Xenopus tropicalis: one gene and its partners. The protein of the gene in region 2 purifies or fractionates together with the protein of the main gene of each other region. This does not show direct contact. Links are inferred from orthologs where the notes say so. Each region holds a gene or a part of one and is shown on either strand. Other genes may lie near its edges.

What was found.
Region 1: the proteins of dnajc11 (region 2) and immt purify together in Homo sapiens (co-immunoprecipitation; 3 studies listed by BioGRID and IntAct, with this or other methods). This does not show direct contact. The link is inferred for Xenopus tropicalis from reciprocal best matches to the Homo sapiens genes DNAJC11 and IMMT.
Region 3: the proteins of dnajc11 (region 2) and armc1 purify together in Homo sapiens (affinity purification with mass spectrometry; 4 studies listed by BioGRID and IntAct, counting the BioPlex papers as one, with this or other methods). This does not show direct contact. The link is inferred for Xenopus tropicalis from reciprocal best matches to the Homo sapiens genes DNAJC11 and ARMC1.

The regions. Positions count from the first base shown.
Region 1 is NC_030677.2:17,818,517-17,823,018, reverse strand, and holds part of immt (MICOS complex subunit MIC60), read left to right. Parts: intron 1-2,249; coding exon 2,250-2,323; intron 2,324-2,764; coding exon 2,765-2,957; intron 2,958-3,102; coding exon 3,103-3,235; intron 3,236-3,417; coding exon 3,418-3,540; intron 3,541-3,661; coding exon 3,662-3,778; intron 3,779-4,409; coding exon 4,410-4,502. UniProt on the Homo sapiens protein: Component of the MICOS complex, a large protein complex of the mitochondrial inner membrane that plays crucial roles in the maintenance of crista junctions, inner membrane architecture, and formation of contact sites to the outer membrane.
Region 2 is NC_030683.2:99,798,719-99,804,018, forward strand, and holds the start of dnajc11 (dnaJ homolog subfamily C member 11), read right to left. Parts: upstream 3,301-5,300; 5' UTR 3,285-3,300; coding exon 3,213-3,284; intron 1-3,212.
Region 3 is NC_030682.2:118,507,209-118,512,485, forward strand, and holds the start of armc1 (armadillo repeat-containing protein 1), read right to left. Parts: upstream 3,150-5,277; 5' UTR 3,131-3,149; intron 3,107-3,130; exon of another isoform or gene 3,057-3,106; intron 1,749-3,056; exon of another isoform or gene 1,685-1,748; intron 1-1,684.

The DNA of each region.
Region 1 (4,502 bases), on a different chromosome or scaffold from region 2:
GGGTACTGGGAATGCCAGGGGGGCTGTAAGGTGCCACAGACAGTCACTATTTATTGGGCTGCTGGGGGGCTGTTTGTGCCTCTGGGTACTGGGAATGCCAGGGGGGCTGTAAGGTGCCACAGACAGTCACTATTTATTGGGCTGGGGGGCTGTTTGTGCCTCTGGGTACTGGGAATGCCAGAGGGGCTGCTGTAAGATGCCACAGACAGTCACTATTTATTGGGCTGGGGGGGCTGTTTGGGCCTCTGTGTACTGGGAATGCCAGAGGGGCTGCTGTAAGATGCCACAGACAGTCACTATTTATTGGGCTGCCGGGGGGCTGTTTGGGCCTCTGGGTACTTGTAATGCCAGGGACTATTTTGTATCCTAGTCCGGGCCTGTATCCCTGTGTGTCCTGTGAGCTGCAGCCTGTGTGAGGGGACAGATTATCATCCACTTTGGGAAATTGTGGTGCCGTGTGTGTTGCCAGTTTTTCCTAATTGCTGTGTGTGTGCCTTTATTTGTGCCAGTAATGCAGGGGGGCATCAGCTAGTTTGCAAATGGGTTGCATGTGTGGTTGCGTCAGTACAGCCGGCATGAAGGCTTCTCACTTACCCATGGGCCCTGTACCCTGGGCGCTGTTCCTCAGAGCAGGCTGAACTGCTGCAAAGTACAAGGTGTCGGTGTAAATAAGATTTAAGCACACAGAATTGCATGTGTATATGAGCCTTAATATGTACTATACATTTGTTTCACTAGTTGTACAGGTGCAACGTGGAGCTGTTTGGGTGAGGGGGCTGTTTGCTTTCTGCCCTGATCTGGTGGCTGCACACTTCCTTGTGCTGTATATATGGGGTACCCTTCACAGGGGTTTGTCCGGTTGCCATTGATCATTGGTTGTGTATAAAGGAAATATTTCCATTCATGTTCTACTTATCTTATGTGCAGTGTAACATTCTGCAGTATACTAATAGTATCTAATGATAATGATTTACAGACCGCAAACACACACTCTAAAGGTCCCCATACACGGGCCGATAGTAGCTGCCGATATGGGTCCCTTAGACCGATTCGGTAGCTAATCAGCCCATGTATGGGCGCTACCGACGGGCCTGCCCGACCGATATCTGGCCCGAAATCGGCCGGATCTCGATTGGGCGGGTTAGAAAATCTAGTCAGATCGGGGACTGCATCGGCTCGTTGATGTGGTCCCCAGACCGACTTTGCCTATACCTGTCATTATAATTCGATCATTTGGTCCCAGGGCCAAACAATCGAATTACCCTGGATTCTCCCAATATCACCCACCCGTAGGTGGGGATATCGGGAGAAGATATGTTGCCAAGCGAGCGGATCTTATGGTGTATGGGGACCTTTACTTGCAAATAAAAACTCTTGTGAGTTTATTTATTTACTAACTTTTGCTCCGGGTCTAGTAACTCATGGCAACCAATGATATGATTGCTTTCATGATTCTGACTGCTCTAGACCAGTACAAACTGCTACCCAATGCCCTGTGGGGAAATGCCTAATATGCAGTTGGTTACAAGGACATTCTAAGCACAATATTCCCTAAATTGGGGTTCAGGTAATAACCTTAGGGAAAGAATGGGGTAAAGCAAGAACATGTTATGTAGCTATTTTAAAGACTTTACTGAACTGTAGAGCTGTTCTGTTGTTGGAACTGAGGGGTTAATCATATTTTGTGCCGGCTGGTGTCTCTGCTGGATTTTCCTTTGTAACCTTGGTAACCCATGAATTGGCACCCTGTTAGTGGAACGTATTCCTGCCAGGCATCCTGCTGCAGCACCCTCTGCTCTTGCGGTTGGTCTCGGCCGGGCTGGGCAGGCGCCTTTGAGCCTCCGTGGAACCAGTGAGTCATTAGGAAACCAGGAAATGTATCTGGCTTGTCTGCAGCATCACTTGGCATCATTTACTTGCCGGGGCCTATGAGCAGTACTGATCTCCCATACTGACTGCACTGGTTAATAGGAAATATAATGTCCTGGAATTTCCATTTCAAAGGAAGTGCTAACAGTTACACACAGCCTCTATAATGTATTGGCTTTGATACCAGTGCTCCCAGTGCACCCAGATGTCACTTCCCTGCAAGTTAAACCTATAGTGATTATGCCACCGGGGGGGCTACTGTAAGATGCCATAGACCTGCCCTTTCTATTAGGCCTGAGGGAGGGATGTATGTGCCTCTGTGTATTTGGACTCTCAGGCTGTGCATAATCAATACATTTTCCTTGTTTGTTCTCTATTAGGAATGCCTGTGTAGCAGAGTATCCCTCCGTCCCTTGCGTGCAGCCAGATCCTACTCTACTGCTGAATCATCTGGGTATGTGTGGCTTTTTCTTGCAGCTTGTTTAACTGTTATACCCCAGTTTTTCTTTTAAAACCTCTAGTGGAATGGGAAATAATATACAGTTACACTTTTAGTCAGTGGTTATAGGCCTGCCCATGTAGCGTGCCCAATTTAGCCTCTGATATGTATAAGCAATCTATAGGCCTGTATAAGGCTTTATGGACAGGAGCCTTACTAATGTGCCTATTACTGCCCCATAAGGAAGGGTAGCAAAGCTGCACCGTGTGTTAGTAAATGGGCCCATGTTTGTATATTTTGGCATCAGATGACTTTGCTTTAGGGCACGTGTATTACTGCAGGGTGAATCATGTACATCCATTATCCATGATGGTTCCATTTGTAGCTAATCCTTTATTTACTAAGTCTCAGTAGGCATGCAGTCTGACCAATTTACTACTTTGTTTCTTTTTTCAGTCCCTCTGCTGCAAAGATCATTGGTGCCGGCATCTTGCTCACAGGCGGAGGCATCGGGGGCACTGTCCTGTACGCCAGCTGGGACCCACGATTTCGAGAGAATGTTGAGAAGACTATTCCCTACTCCGACAAGCTGTTTGACTTGGCTCTCGGGCCTCCTGCTCCAGCCAGTCTGCCTGTGCCAAAGAAACCAGTAAGACATATATCCTGCCTCTTATATTAATAATAATAATAAGGCAAATTAGTTTTGCATTTGCCGATTAGAGGCAAATTCACTGTACTCCAGTAGTCCTTCCAAATTCCTTTGCACAAAATAAATGCATTATACTTTTTTTCAGCTAAAATCGGGCCCACTTCAGATTTCCTCTGTGTCTGAAGTGATGAAGGAATCCAAGATGCCTAAGAAAGAGAAGGTCGAGGCTCGTCTACCAACTCCTCCTCCCCCACCTACGGAAAATGTGGATTTGGAAGGTAACGGTGCATATGGTGGAATGGGGGAGCATGGGAGAAACTGCTTTTGCATGTCAGCAAGGGGGGAAATCTATTGTGGGAGATGGGCAGACTAGGGTGAATAGTGGGACACTTGGCATTGGGTAAACCTTCATGTATGGTAAAACCTACCCACATTAATGTGTACATATCTGTTTGTGCAGCATCATCGCATGTAGCCCAAATAATCTCAGCAACTGGGGAAGCTCTGTCTGTTCCGGCTTCAGTCGTTCACGAGGAGGAGTCTTCCAAAGCCTCAGAGCCAGTGGAGCCAGCAGTCACTGCAGGTAGTAACGTTTCAACATAGCGGAAGTTACGGTTTCCAGGGTGGCGACCCAAGCTTCGAGTCTAATGCTATGGTACTTAAAGGCATTCATTTTAAATTAGATATCTTCTAACTTTTTAAAGAGGAGCACTGCAAGGAGTGTGAGCACGAGGCTACGCACAAGTTGAAAGAACGGCCTCCTGAAGAGGTGGCGGCTCGCCTTGTTCAGCAAGATAAGGAAGAACAAGAAAGGATTAAATGTAAGTGTGTGAGTGCTCGTTTGCTGCTATTGGCAGGCACCATTTTACCATGTATTCCCCTCTCTAGCTGTTCTGAATAACCATAAGTAGAAGAAATACAAATCCCCTTCCCAGTTAAACCCCCTGTAACTCCTATATTGGATTCCTTAACTGACTGCCTACGTTGGAATATGCTTATCTTTAGATTCCACTTTCTTATTTGGCCCTAATTAAATACAGAAGTAAGGATGCTGACAATCTAATATACCACAGTACATCACTTTCAGGGGAGACCATCTGACCAATCATTTTCATTCTATAAAGCACAGAGAATGAGCTCTCCATGACTGTATTCCTTATTAACCCATGAGTGGGACAGTGCTGTAGTGTAGCGTGGCCTCACATAAACCATGGGGGGGATTTAAACCAATCTTGTGTGTGTTTCTATATTACCCAAAACCCCTGCGGCAAATATCCATTGCTTCCTCTCCCTTCTTGCCTAGTGACCTGACTGATATTGTCCATCCCCACTGCACTTGCACATTTACGTATCATCAATAAATTGGGCTAGCATAACCTTATATCTGCAATTTCTGTAATGTATCTGCCCCAAAAGGGCCACGGAAATAATGTATGTGCTGTTACTTTTTAGCTATAGCTGCAGCGTTAGAGGATGCGCTGAGCAACACTGCCCGAGTTACACTGCAGGCTATCGGCACCCAGGAGTCAGCAGTGCAGGCTGTCG
Region 2 (5,300 bases):
GCCCTATAGCGGTAATAATCTAGCCTTTGTTTTCAACTTTTATAGCCCTTCTTTTGCATGAGTGGCACTGCACATGCTCAGAGTGCTCTGGGCTGCTGTTGAGAAGTTAAGCTTAAGGGGTCATCTGAAATCATCAAAACATTAGCAGAAAGTGAGACACAGAATTCACTGGTTTATGTGCTACCACGCAATGGCAATATGAAAATATGAATGGCACATGAAATCAGCCTTGTATTGTGAATATATGTTCACATCTGGTATATGCTACCAGAAGGAACTTCATTGGCACAGGCCTTCATAGCTACAGGGCTTAATGCACACTGCTGACTTGTCTCCAGCTGTCCAGTTCTAGCTGCACGAAAACCAGATGTTGCTCTATTTATCTAAAGAGAGATATTGTTGCAGCTTGGAGCCATCCAATTTTAAAGAAAAATGGACCTTTCAGTGTTCAAATATATCAGACAAGTTTTGGGGGCCGTGCCCTTCATGTTCTTGTATCTTTCAGTGGATGCTAAAACTGTTATTTGTGTGCACTCTTAGATATTTACTTAATTTGCACCATTATTAGTTTGTATCCCCTTGCATTATTAATGCATTGTAATGCTCATTGTAGCCTAGCAGCAGTATATAATTATGAATATGGATTAGTATATATTTTAATTTCAACATGGTTTAAACAATTCAATCTGTCTGAACTCCTTCTGACACTTGTAGATGTCATGGGCATGGGAGTATGCCCCATAGAAGTGTACTGGTGAGTATGCTTTACCTCACTAGTTAAACCAACTGATAGCACCCAGGCTGGTCAGATCTGAATCACAACAAAGTCTGCAGGAGACTTATTAGGCTCTGCTGTAGTGACTGGTGGAGGTTATGGAACTTATACCTTTCTAAAATATGGCATCAGACCCAATATTGAATCATGGAATTTAGATGTCCGCTTTTAAAGTTGAGATATAGCGATCCTAGCGGATTTAGAAAATGTCAGTGATATCATGTACTAACACTCTTGCTGTCTCTCACTCAACTCACAAGATATTGGTATTCAGTGTTCTACCAAAACATCAGTTTTTGGTTGATATTCACTATTATGCACATTTGATAAAATAATTTCTTTTATAGACCCTTACAAGTTTCTCAGTGCCATAAAATGTGTTGCCCTCTGACCCAGAGAATAAATGTGGCTTATGGGCAAGTTTACTTGCTATTCTTGTGTTCATCCAGCAGCATGAATGGGAACAGTTTATGTGGATTTGGAAACACATGTAGATCACCATCAGCAAAGATTTTCTTATTTTAACTGAAAAGACCACAAAGATTCTGGCTCCTGTCACATTAAACTGGACACTTTGAACAATAATTTTCAGAATAAACCAGTGGAGATTATTGCCATGTTTTGTATTAAAGGATAGTCCACAACCCACTGGGATGACACATTTTGGATCCCCCATCCAAAACACAATGCTATAGTCAGTACCTAAAAGCGAGCTTGACTTCAGCATTTTACCAGTGGCATAGCCTGCCATAGCCAACACAACACACAGGTTCGGTGATGCAGTTTTGTACAATGGCAGGTTGTTTTACATAATATAAACTTAAATATAAAACAAACCAAAAATGAAATGGCAAGTGATAACCATCCTTGTGAAACATTACCTTGCATTCTGAAAAGTAAACAACCATCCCAGGAAAATACCTTCTCTCTAAGTGTCAGCTATTAATATCAAAGCAACAAAGGGCATCAACAGCTTAACTACAAGACCACCACAAAATTTTTTTTTAGGATCCCCCCCCCCAAAATTTGGGAATAAGATACTTTTTTATTAAACTGCCCTACTTTTACCCCTACTACTGGATCCCTCCAGCAGTGGTACGATCTGCTTCCTTCATAGTTACATTCTAATCAAGGCCTGGACTGGCAATCTGTGGATTCTGGCAAATGCCAGAGGGGCTGCTGTAAAATGCCATAGACAGTATTGATTGGGCTGGTGGGGGCTTATTGGGCATCTGTGTAATGCAGGGCCTATTTAGAAGCCCAGTTCAAACCTGATCTAATCACCAATACTTCTAGTAGCAGATAGGTCAGGACAGGTTTATGTGTGTGCTGGGGTTCACTTAGAGGGGTTGAACTTGATTTTTTTTAACCCAGCTTAACTAGGAACCTGCAAATACAAGGGTGTAACTATAAAGGAAGGGACCATTGCACCTTCTGGTGCCTAAGAGTTATAGGGAACACCTTACGGCCCTGGGCACAGTTTCAGTATTTGAAAACATCTATTCCGAAACCTAAGGTGGCCCTAAAGTTAATTTTGATGTGGGGCTGGGACCATTGCACCTTCTGGGTGCCTAAGAGGTATAGGGAACACCATGGGGCACTGGGCACAGTTTCAGTATTTGAAATCATCTATTCCGAAACCTAAGGTGGCCCTAAAGTTAATTATCATGTAGGGCCCAGTAACCTCTAGTAACACCACTGCCCAAACACATGCAAACATCCTGTAGTGATAGAACTGGTTCAAACCTTTAGGTGACAACAAAATAATGAATTTTCTTGTTGAATAAAAAAAAAAAAAACTATAAATTTCTCATAAACTGGCTGCTGGGGGTGCAGTTTCACTGGAATATATAAATGCTATATCCAACTTTCACACAGATCCAAGCAGGATATAGGATCCCACTCCTTTTATTTTTCAAATATGTATATAAACAAGGCGGCAGGACATTCAAACCCCTGTGCTTAACATAATTCATTAAGGAAAGTGAAAGTAAAACCTACATTCACAAGTGTTATTAAAAAAAAAAAAAGTTTTATGAAGTGTTGCAAGTGTTTCATTTAGAAAATGACAGACGGGAAAGATAAATGCCATCTCGCCACACTTACAAAGTGCCCTACCCCTACGTTATCTAGCTGCGGTTAAACTACAACTCCCAGAATCCCCTCGTAAGCTTTCACTGTGCAAGTACGGGCAGAAAGGTAATTCAGCAATAGACTGACAACCACAAGCTAAATCATGGAGTAGAAGTTTGCCATTCACGCTGCATGCAGCTCCAAGCATGGGGTCAGGGAGGCGGGTAAGAGAAACATGCCGGGGGTCACAATGCAATGCCGGCTTGTGAGAGCCCTGAGAAGTCCCCGGAGCCCTGCCCTTCCAGCCACATACTCTGGCACAGGAGTACCGCTACGGGAGCGGCATGACACCCCCAAATCTCACCTCCCTCCTGACGTTAAGAAGTGAATAATAGTCATCGTTATCCACTTCATCTTCCATAAAGGACGCCGCCATCTTCAGAACCTTTCACCTTGACCGTCGAGTCTTCAGACAAGGTAGGGTCAACCTCCGGCTGAAGGGAGAGCCGGGGGAACAGCGACACCTGCAGAACGGAGGGGACATTGCAGCATCGGCTGTTGAAAACTACCAAGTGACACAAACAAGCTAATACTAGCTATACCAATGATGATGTTATACGCCCATAATTAAGGTGCTGCTTTGCTAGCTGGCAAATTGCAGAAATGCTCTTTAGCTGCATACTGTGCTGGAGTCTAAGTAGACAGGCTGTATGCATTTAAGTGAACAAGAGATGGGTTGTAGTGTTGCTACTGTAGGGATCTATAGGGTTAAACTGCACCTAAGGCTTTAAACCTTACCACTTCTTTAGTCTGTGCTGTTACTGGGCAAAGGCCCATGTATCAGTTTAGAGATACCTTATTGGTTTATAGGTTGACTCCACCCTTTGCACGCCAATATAGTTTGGCAAAGGGGTGGGTCTTCCTCTTTGGCTGCATCTACTGACCGAGGTGGAAGTTCCACTGAGCCTGGGATCAACAGGGCCCCAGTAAAGCATTTTACCCTAGAGTCTGCATCTACTCTAGAGAGGTCAGGGACAGGAACCATGTGAATGAGGACCAGCTAGATAGTTACTCTTGCCGAGCACTTTCTAGTAAAGTGAGATAGAGAGGGAAGGAAGCAAGAGCAGTTTTGGCTCCACCAAAGAAAGTAGTTGGAAGTATTCTTCCATACAGGCAATGTTGCCTTAGCATAGGGCCACGGTTAAGACTTAGAAGGGAGGCAGGCAGTATCTGAATCCTGATCCATAGTTACTGTGGGACCCTGAAGGCTAGAGGTAGTCAACCTGAGGAGTGTGGTATCCAATCTGACTGTTCCAAAGGGTGGCCAAACTGACCAGGTGCACCCTCTCTGCGCTGTCCTAAGAGTATTACTATATTATAGAAGCTATATGTGAGTATTGCAATAACCCTGCATTTTGATTGTCTCTGCCAATAAACCAATTCTATTGTTCAACTGCAAGAACCTTCTGGCGCCCATTTGTTACTTTGCACTGCACACAGTTATAATGGGTTGTAGTTTCACTACACCATAGCTCACTTAGCGAAGGCCCATCCTGAAGGATTGAGTCGCGTGTACCCCATACTCTAAACCTACACTATCCATGCTGTTGGCTTGGTTACATAGTTACATAGGGTTGAAAAAAGACCAGTTTCCATCAAGTTCAACCCATCCAAGTAAACCCAGCACACTTAACCCACACCTACCAATCTATACACTCACATACATACACTATATATACAACCACTAGTACTAACTGTAGATATTAGTATCACAATAGCCTTGGATATTCTGATTGATCAAGAACTCATCCAGGCCCCTCTTAAAGGCATTAACAGAATCTGCCATTACCACATCACTAGGAAGGGCATTCCATAACCTCACTGCCCTCACCGTGAAAAACCACCTACGCTGCTTCAAATGGAAGCTCCTTTCCTCTAATCTAAAGGGGTGACCTCTGGTGCGCTGATTGTTTTTATGGGAAAAAAGAACATCCCCCAACTGCCTATAATCCCCTCTAATGTACTTGTACAGAGTAATCATGTCCCCTCGCAAGCGCCTCTTTTCCAGAGAAAACAACCCCAACCTTGACAGTCTCACCTCATAGTTTAAATCTTCCATCCCCTTTACCAGTTTAGTTGCACGTCTCTGCACTTTCTCCAGCTCATTAATATCCTTCTTAAGGACTGGAGCCCAAAACTGCACTGCATACTCAAGATGAGGCCTTACCAGGGACCTATAAAGGGGCAAAATTATGTTCTCATCCCTTGAGTCAATGCCCTTTTTTATACAAGACAGCACTTTATTTGCTTTAGTAGCCACAGAATGACACTGCCTGGCATTAGACAACTTGTTATCAACAAAAACCCCTAGATCCTTCTCCATTAAGGAAACCCCCAACACACTACCATTCAGTAGATAGTTTGCGTTTATATTATTTCTACCAAAGTGCAT
Region 3 (5,277 bases), on a different chromosome or scaffold from region 2:
ACTCATTACTGCTGGATTATTATCGAAATGCAAACTGCCCCATGCCCAGTGACCCACTTAGTCATGAGTGCTGCATCTATGTGCATATTGAAATAAATTAATTTCAAGGCTCTATAGTTTCAGAGTTTACAGTGCAGCATAATGCACCTTTGCACAGTACCTAGTGAAACAGCTATTCTCACTGCTGAGGGAGCAAGAACCAGCTGTATAGTAGCCCTGTGCCACAAAAACTCAACCCTATAAACTGCATGCCTATAACAATGGGGGAAAGTCCATTTCTACATTACAAAACCACCAAAAGAAGCACTCATTTATACACATCTAGCTAAAGGTATATAACAGGTATTCTGTATTTTATAGGTAAATTTAACTTTGAATGAACTTCGCCTATCCTTAGCTGCTTTTAATTACCGTAACCTTGATTTTATTGTTCTGGAATTGCTATCCTATATCTGCCTCTTTTCAGAACACAGGCTAGATTTTTATAGTTACTGGTACATTGTATAGATTATCGGTCTAAAGTAGCCCTGCCAATTCAGCTTCCACTCAGAATTCTATACTTATTGTACAGCGCTGTGGAATATGTTGGCGCTTTATAAATAATTGTTAATAATAAACTGCTGCCAGGTTGCTAAGTCAAGCTGAACCCCTAGCAACTAGACAACCATTGTAATTCCAAAATGGAAAGCTGCAAAAATTGTTGTTTTTCACTATCATTGTCCATAGCACAATTAAAGTTTATTTTAAGGGAATTAACCCATTAATCAAATGTAACAGGTTTTCTAAAATTATGTATTTAAATAGGCCCTTTGATTTTGCTATGCTAATCATTTTTCTGCTCACCACTTGTCTTTGAGCTGTGCAACTGACCTTGGCAATTGTATTTTCAGAGGAAGGCTAAAGTCACAGGAATGTAAAGCCAGCAATGAGCAGTTGCTTTTATAATAAGATGTGCTGTTTCACAGCAGTAGGTAGGTATACAGAAAATGCCAGGATGCTGGCAATAATAACAAACTGGCACTCACTAAGCAACAAAATACTTGCTGTGTTAACATGACACAGTAGGAGGATAAAGCCAGCATCATACATGAGTGAATGTGGCTCACTAGGACAATCTGTCACAGACTCCTTGTAAGTTTAATTGGTAATGGCAAGTCACCTAGCATGACATATGCCAATAACTGGAAAGGTTACTAGAAGTGTAATGTTGCTTTTTAATGGATTATACAGTTTCATGTGCAATAAGACTTGAATTAATACAGTACACAGAAAATAACAAAAGCATTTTTGTAGCTAGTGGTGAACACTCCCATGCAGGCTAAGGGACACTATGCGGATCTGCATAGGGTGCCCTTAGCCTAAGCGGAGTAAAAAAAATTGAGTCACACGATGTTGTCTAAAATGCTACAGTTTACCTTTACCAGTCCAACTTTGTTCAAGGACCAGATTATATTATACAAATAAATATATGGAGTACTTCTGCATACTGGGGGGCCATAAAGAAAGCCCCGTAGGACCATATCTGGCCCACATACCAACAGCAGGAAGCTGTGATCTATTTACTTTTAACGTGCAGTTCACCATCACAAAACATACTTTTTTTAAAATAGTATACCAAAGAATTATTGTTTGAAGATGCTACCCATGTATTATTTCTTCTGTTTGTCAAAAATTTGCTACCTACCAACAACTGTTCCTTTACTCTTGTGGGCTGTGGGCAGTGGTTTGCCAAACCACCCTGCAATCCTCTGCAATGGTAAATGATATGTCATGTTTGAAAATATCACGTGTTAATGCATGCTGCCCAGTACTGCAGCTACTCATCACCTCCTGCCAACTGAACAGAAGTACTGTAGCGCAGTAATAATCATCTGATTCCATATAATCTGCATACATTTAATACTTCTTTATTTTTCATGGGCAGGTAAGAAAATAAAAGTTACATCTGGCACACAGGCCTCCAATCACATAGTACTGCTCTACAGGACTGGCCAGTGCATGGCCACCTGAAAACCTTAGTTGTAAACACAAACAACAAAGAAACCATTCCTCTAATTATTAATGACTCCTTTTATTTGCTAGTGTTTTGGATCAGACTGTCTCTGTAGCTCGCCATAAACAGGCTGATAATCAGCCCTCCCAATGCGTTGGCAGCTTACTGTATGGAACCTATGCAACAGATACTTCTGGACCCCCAGTATGACGGTCAAATCAGAAAATATCTGCTTGTCTGGCATATGGACAGCTTATACAACATCTTTATGCAGTGGCATCATTTGCCACTAGCTGCTGTTTTTAAAGACTGTTAGACTAATGTCTTGGCAAACCTATTGGCATTCAAGCAAGACAAATACACCTTTTTGGTCAGAATACAAGTTATATTTATACAATACACTTGTTTGAAGCATATGCTTTGTGTTTGTTTGGGAAACTATACTTCATTCACCTGCTAAATGTTTAGCCTTTAGTTACTCAAGTTTACATGGCTCACACAGTAATATCATATGGAACTTTGTACATATATGTTGAGTGGTTGAGCCCATTCTGGCTATATACAAGTACCCTTTAGTTTCTACTGTCACATGTGAGATGTGTATTAATGCTACCCTTCCTGTCTACTGCACCTTTGCCATGGCTGCTCAATGCAGGAAAGATTACAATTCTTACATGTAAGGCCATCTTAAAAGCCAGACATGTAATCCATTCCCAAACTGACTGTGCCCAGACCCAAAGATATCCCAGGCATAGCCCCCAAGGTTAAGAAAGCCCTCACCACTGCTACATAAAGGTCTAACTAAATCCGTTTTCTAATGGAACCAAGTGGTAACAATGCCTGACGTGGCAGACAATTCAACACTGAGCCCATGTAGATTAAAATTCCATAAGCAAAAGCTTTCCCCGGCCTTATCCCCATAGAGAGAAAGGCGCATTCCTGGCAGTTCAGCTTGGTGCTGTTGTCAGACTTTAACTCCCAGCACCTCCTTACAGCCTTTGCTATAGCTGGGAGGTATAGTCATACAGCAAGCCTCTTACCCCTGACAAAAAAACCTAATTACCTAAGGCCCGATGGGCGCACAGAGGGACCACAGGTCCCCGGATAAGCCAAAGGCAGCACAATAGGAACACATACCTAGAAAAGCTCGCAGTCCTCCCCTCACCTACTGCGTCCCCGGCACCACCTCCAGCCTCCCCACTAACTCATTGGCTAACTCCAAACCAGCCGCCCTCCAACCTATCACGCACGCTGTTGTTTAGCCACTTTGTTATTGGTCAGCCAATCGACGCTGTGCGTCTTCACGCTGCGCCACGCTTGATGTGGGTAATGCGCGGTATTATAATGTGTATAGAGCCCAGTTATATAGCAATGCCGCGCTTTGGCTCTCAATATACACGGTTCATTATATAGCTATATATTGCCTTGCTATGCCTTAAAGTTAGAGAGCGCCAATTTCGATTTAGCTGTTCATCACTTTTGATAATCTGATTAATTATGCTTTATTCACCCACAGAGTAAAGACAACCAAGGCACTTTCCAAACATAGTTGCATGAGACGTAAAGCCTCACTGTGTGTTTTCAATCAGGTTGCCCAGTTCCAAAATGGCCGCTGAGCCACGTTTACGTCACGCCCAAGGTCCTCGCTTGGCGGTAGCGCGCACGCCCAACAATGCAGCCAATAGCTGGAGCTTGGCGATAACGCGCACGCCCAACAATGCAGCCAATGGCTGGAGCTGACGTTGACTTTGCTAGGTGAGCGGCGCAAACTGTCACCGGCACTGGGATACACACACGTGACCCGGAGTTGCGCGATTTTGTTCTTGGAATACTGATTGTGTCGGAGTTGTCGTGGGAAAGGATTGGATTCCGGGGAAGAAGATACACGGCTGGAGCTTTAGGACAGACTGTTTCTCCAGGTACGAGTAGTGTGAATAGCAGTGTCCAGAGCGTCCCTAAGGAATATACCAAACCACTGCGGAGGTCTTGCCTATGTGGCTTATAAATGTCACTGGGCTGCCGACCTTCATGTTCAGTTGCCTCTAACTCCATAGTAACTTGGGTTGAAAAAAAAGCGTGAATCGAGTTAAGATTTTAATGTCCTATAGAAAACCTTTGTTATATAAGGGAGACAGTGATCCATTGCTGGTATTTATAAGCCCATGTTCCACGTTACACCATGGGATCAGAATTTTAGTAGTGGCCCATCTCCTAATGGCCTTTACAGCTTCCTGTGCCCCTGTGTTTAGCTTTCCTTTCATTTAGGGAGTTGTAGTTCTACATCAGGCTTAGAGGAAATACAATGGACTCTCCTATGGAGGATTCTGTAGTACCGAAGTTTAACAATATATTAGGTTGGGCATGTTATGCTTTGTTTTGGGCTAATGTTCTAGGCCAAGGCAACTATAGCCCATTAGCAGGGAACATCTGTGCCTACAAATATGCCCCCAGTAGCTCCCCATCTTAAAATTAGCTGACTTACTTCAGATGCCCTGGGCTGCTGTCTGTTACCTTAGATTAAGGGCAAACTTGCAATATTCTCTGTAAATACAGTATAATATTCACAATGTAATTCACTATAAGACCTGAGTTTCGAATCTGCTATGGGCAAATTTGAAGGCCTGGATCATTAAAGAGATACTGACGTCTGAAATAAAGCTGTCTTTAAATATATCATAACATTGTCTTTGAATGATCTTTATAATTTTGCTGTAAACATACTTTCTGATGCTTTTATATAACCTATCTGATCCCCATGTCCCCCTATGAGGGGGCTGCCAAATTTGTGCAGCAGTGGTCCGTTAACATTAGAAGCTATAACTGACAGGCTGAGAAGGGACAGTCAGGTTTAGGAACCTCAAGTAACAATTACTTACAAAAGCAGCCCTATCAATGAAAAATGATCAACATGACCTATAGGGAACTTTTTATGTACATTCATATTTTAAAAAGTATTTTTTTCGTGTCAGTATCACTTTAATCAAAATTAGCAGTTTACTCTCCCTCCAGATATAGTGGCTCCTACTGACTGTTGCTGTTGTTGCTAGTGCCATCGAGCCCCATAGGGTTGTGGTGGGCCCTGATGAAGTGGCACCACTGTGCCCCCCATACCTGAACCATCTGCCACCTCAAGAAAACACAGTATAACGTTTAGCAGGGGTACTCATCCTATATCTCTGATCATTGCAACTTTTGATTTTAAAAAGATATTTTGTTGCAAAAGTGAAACTGCTGATAGTGATTAGTAGCTGAAAATGACCAATTTGCTGGTTTGTAAAACTTTC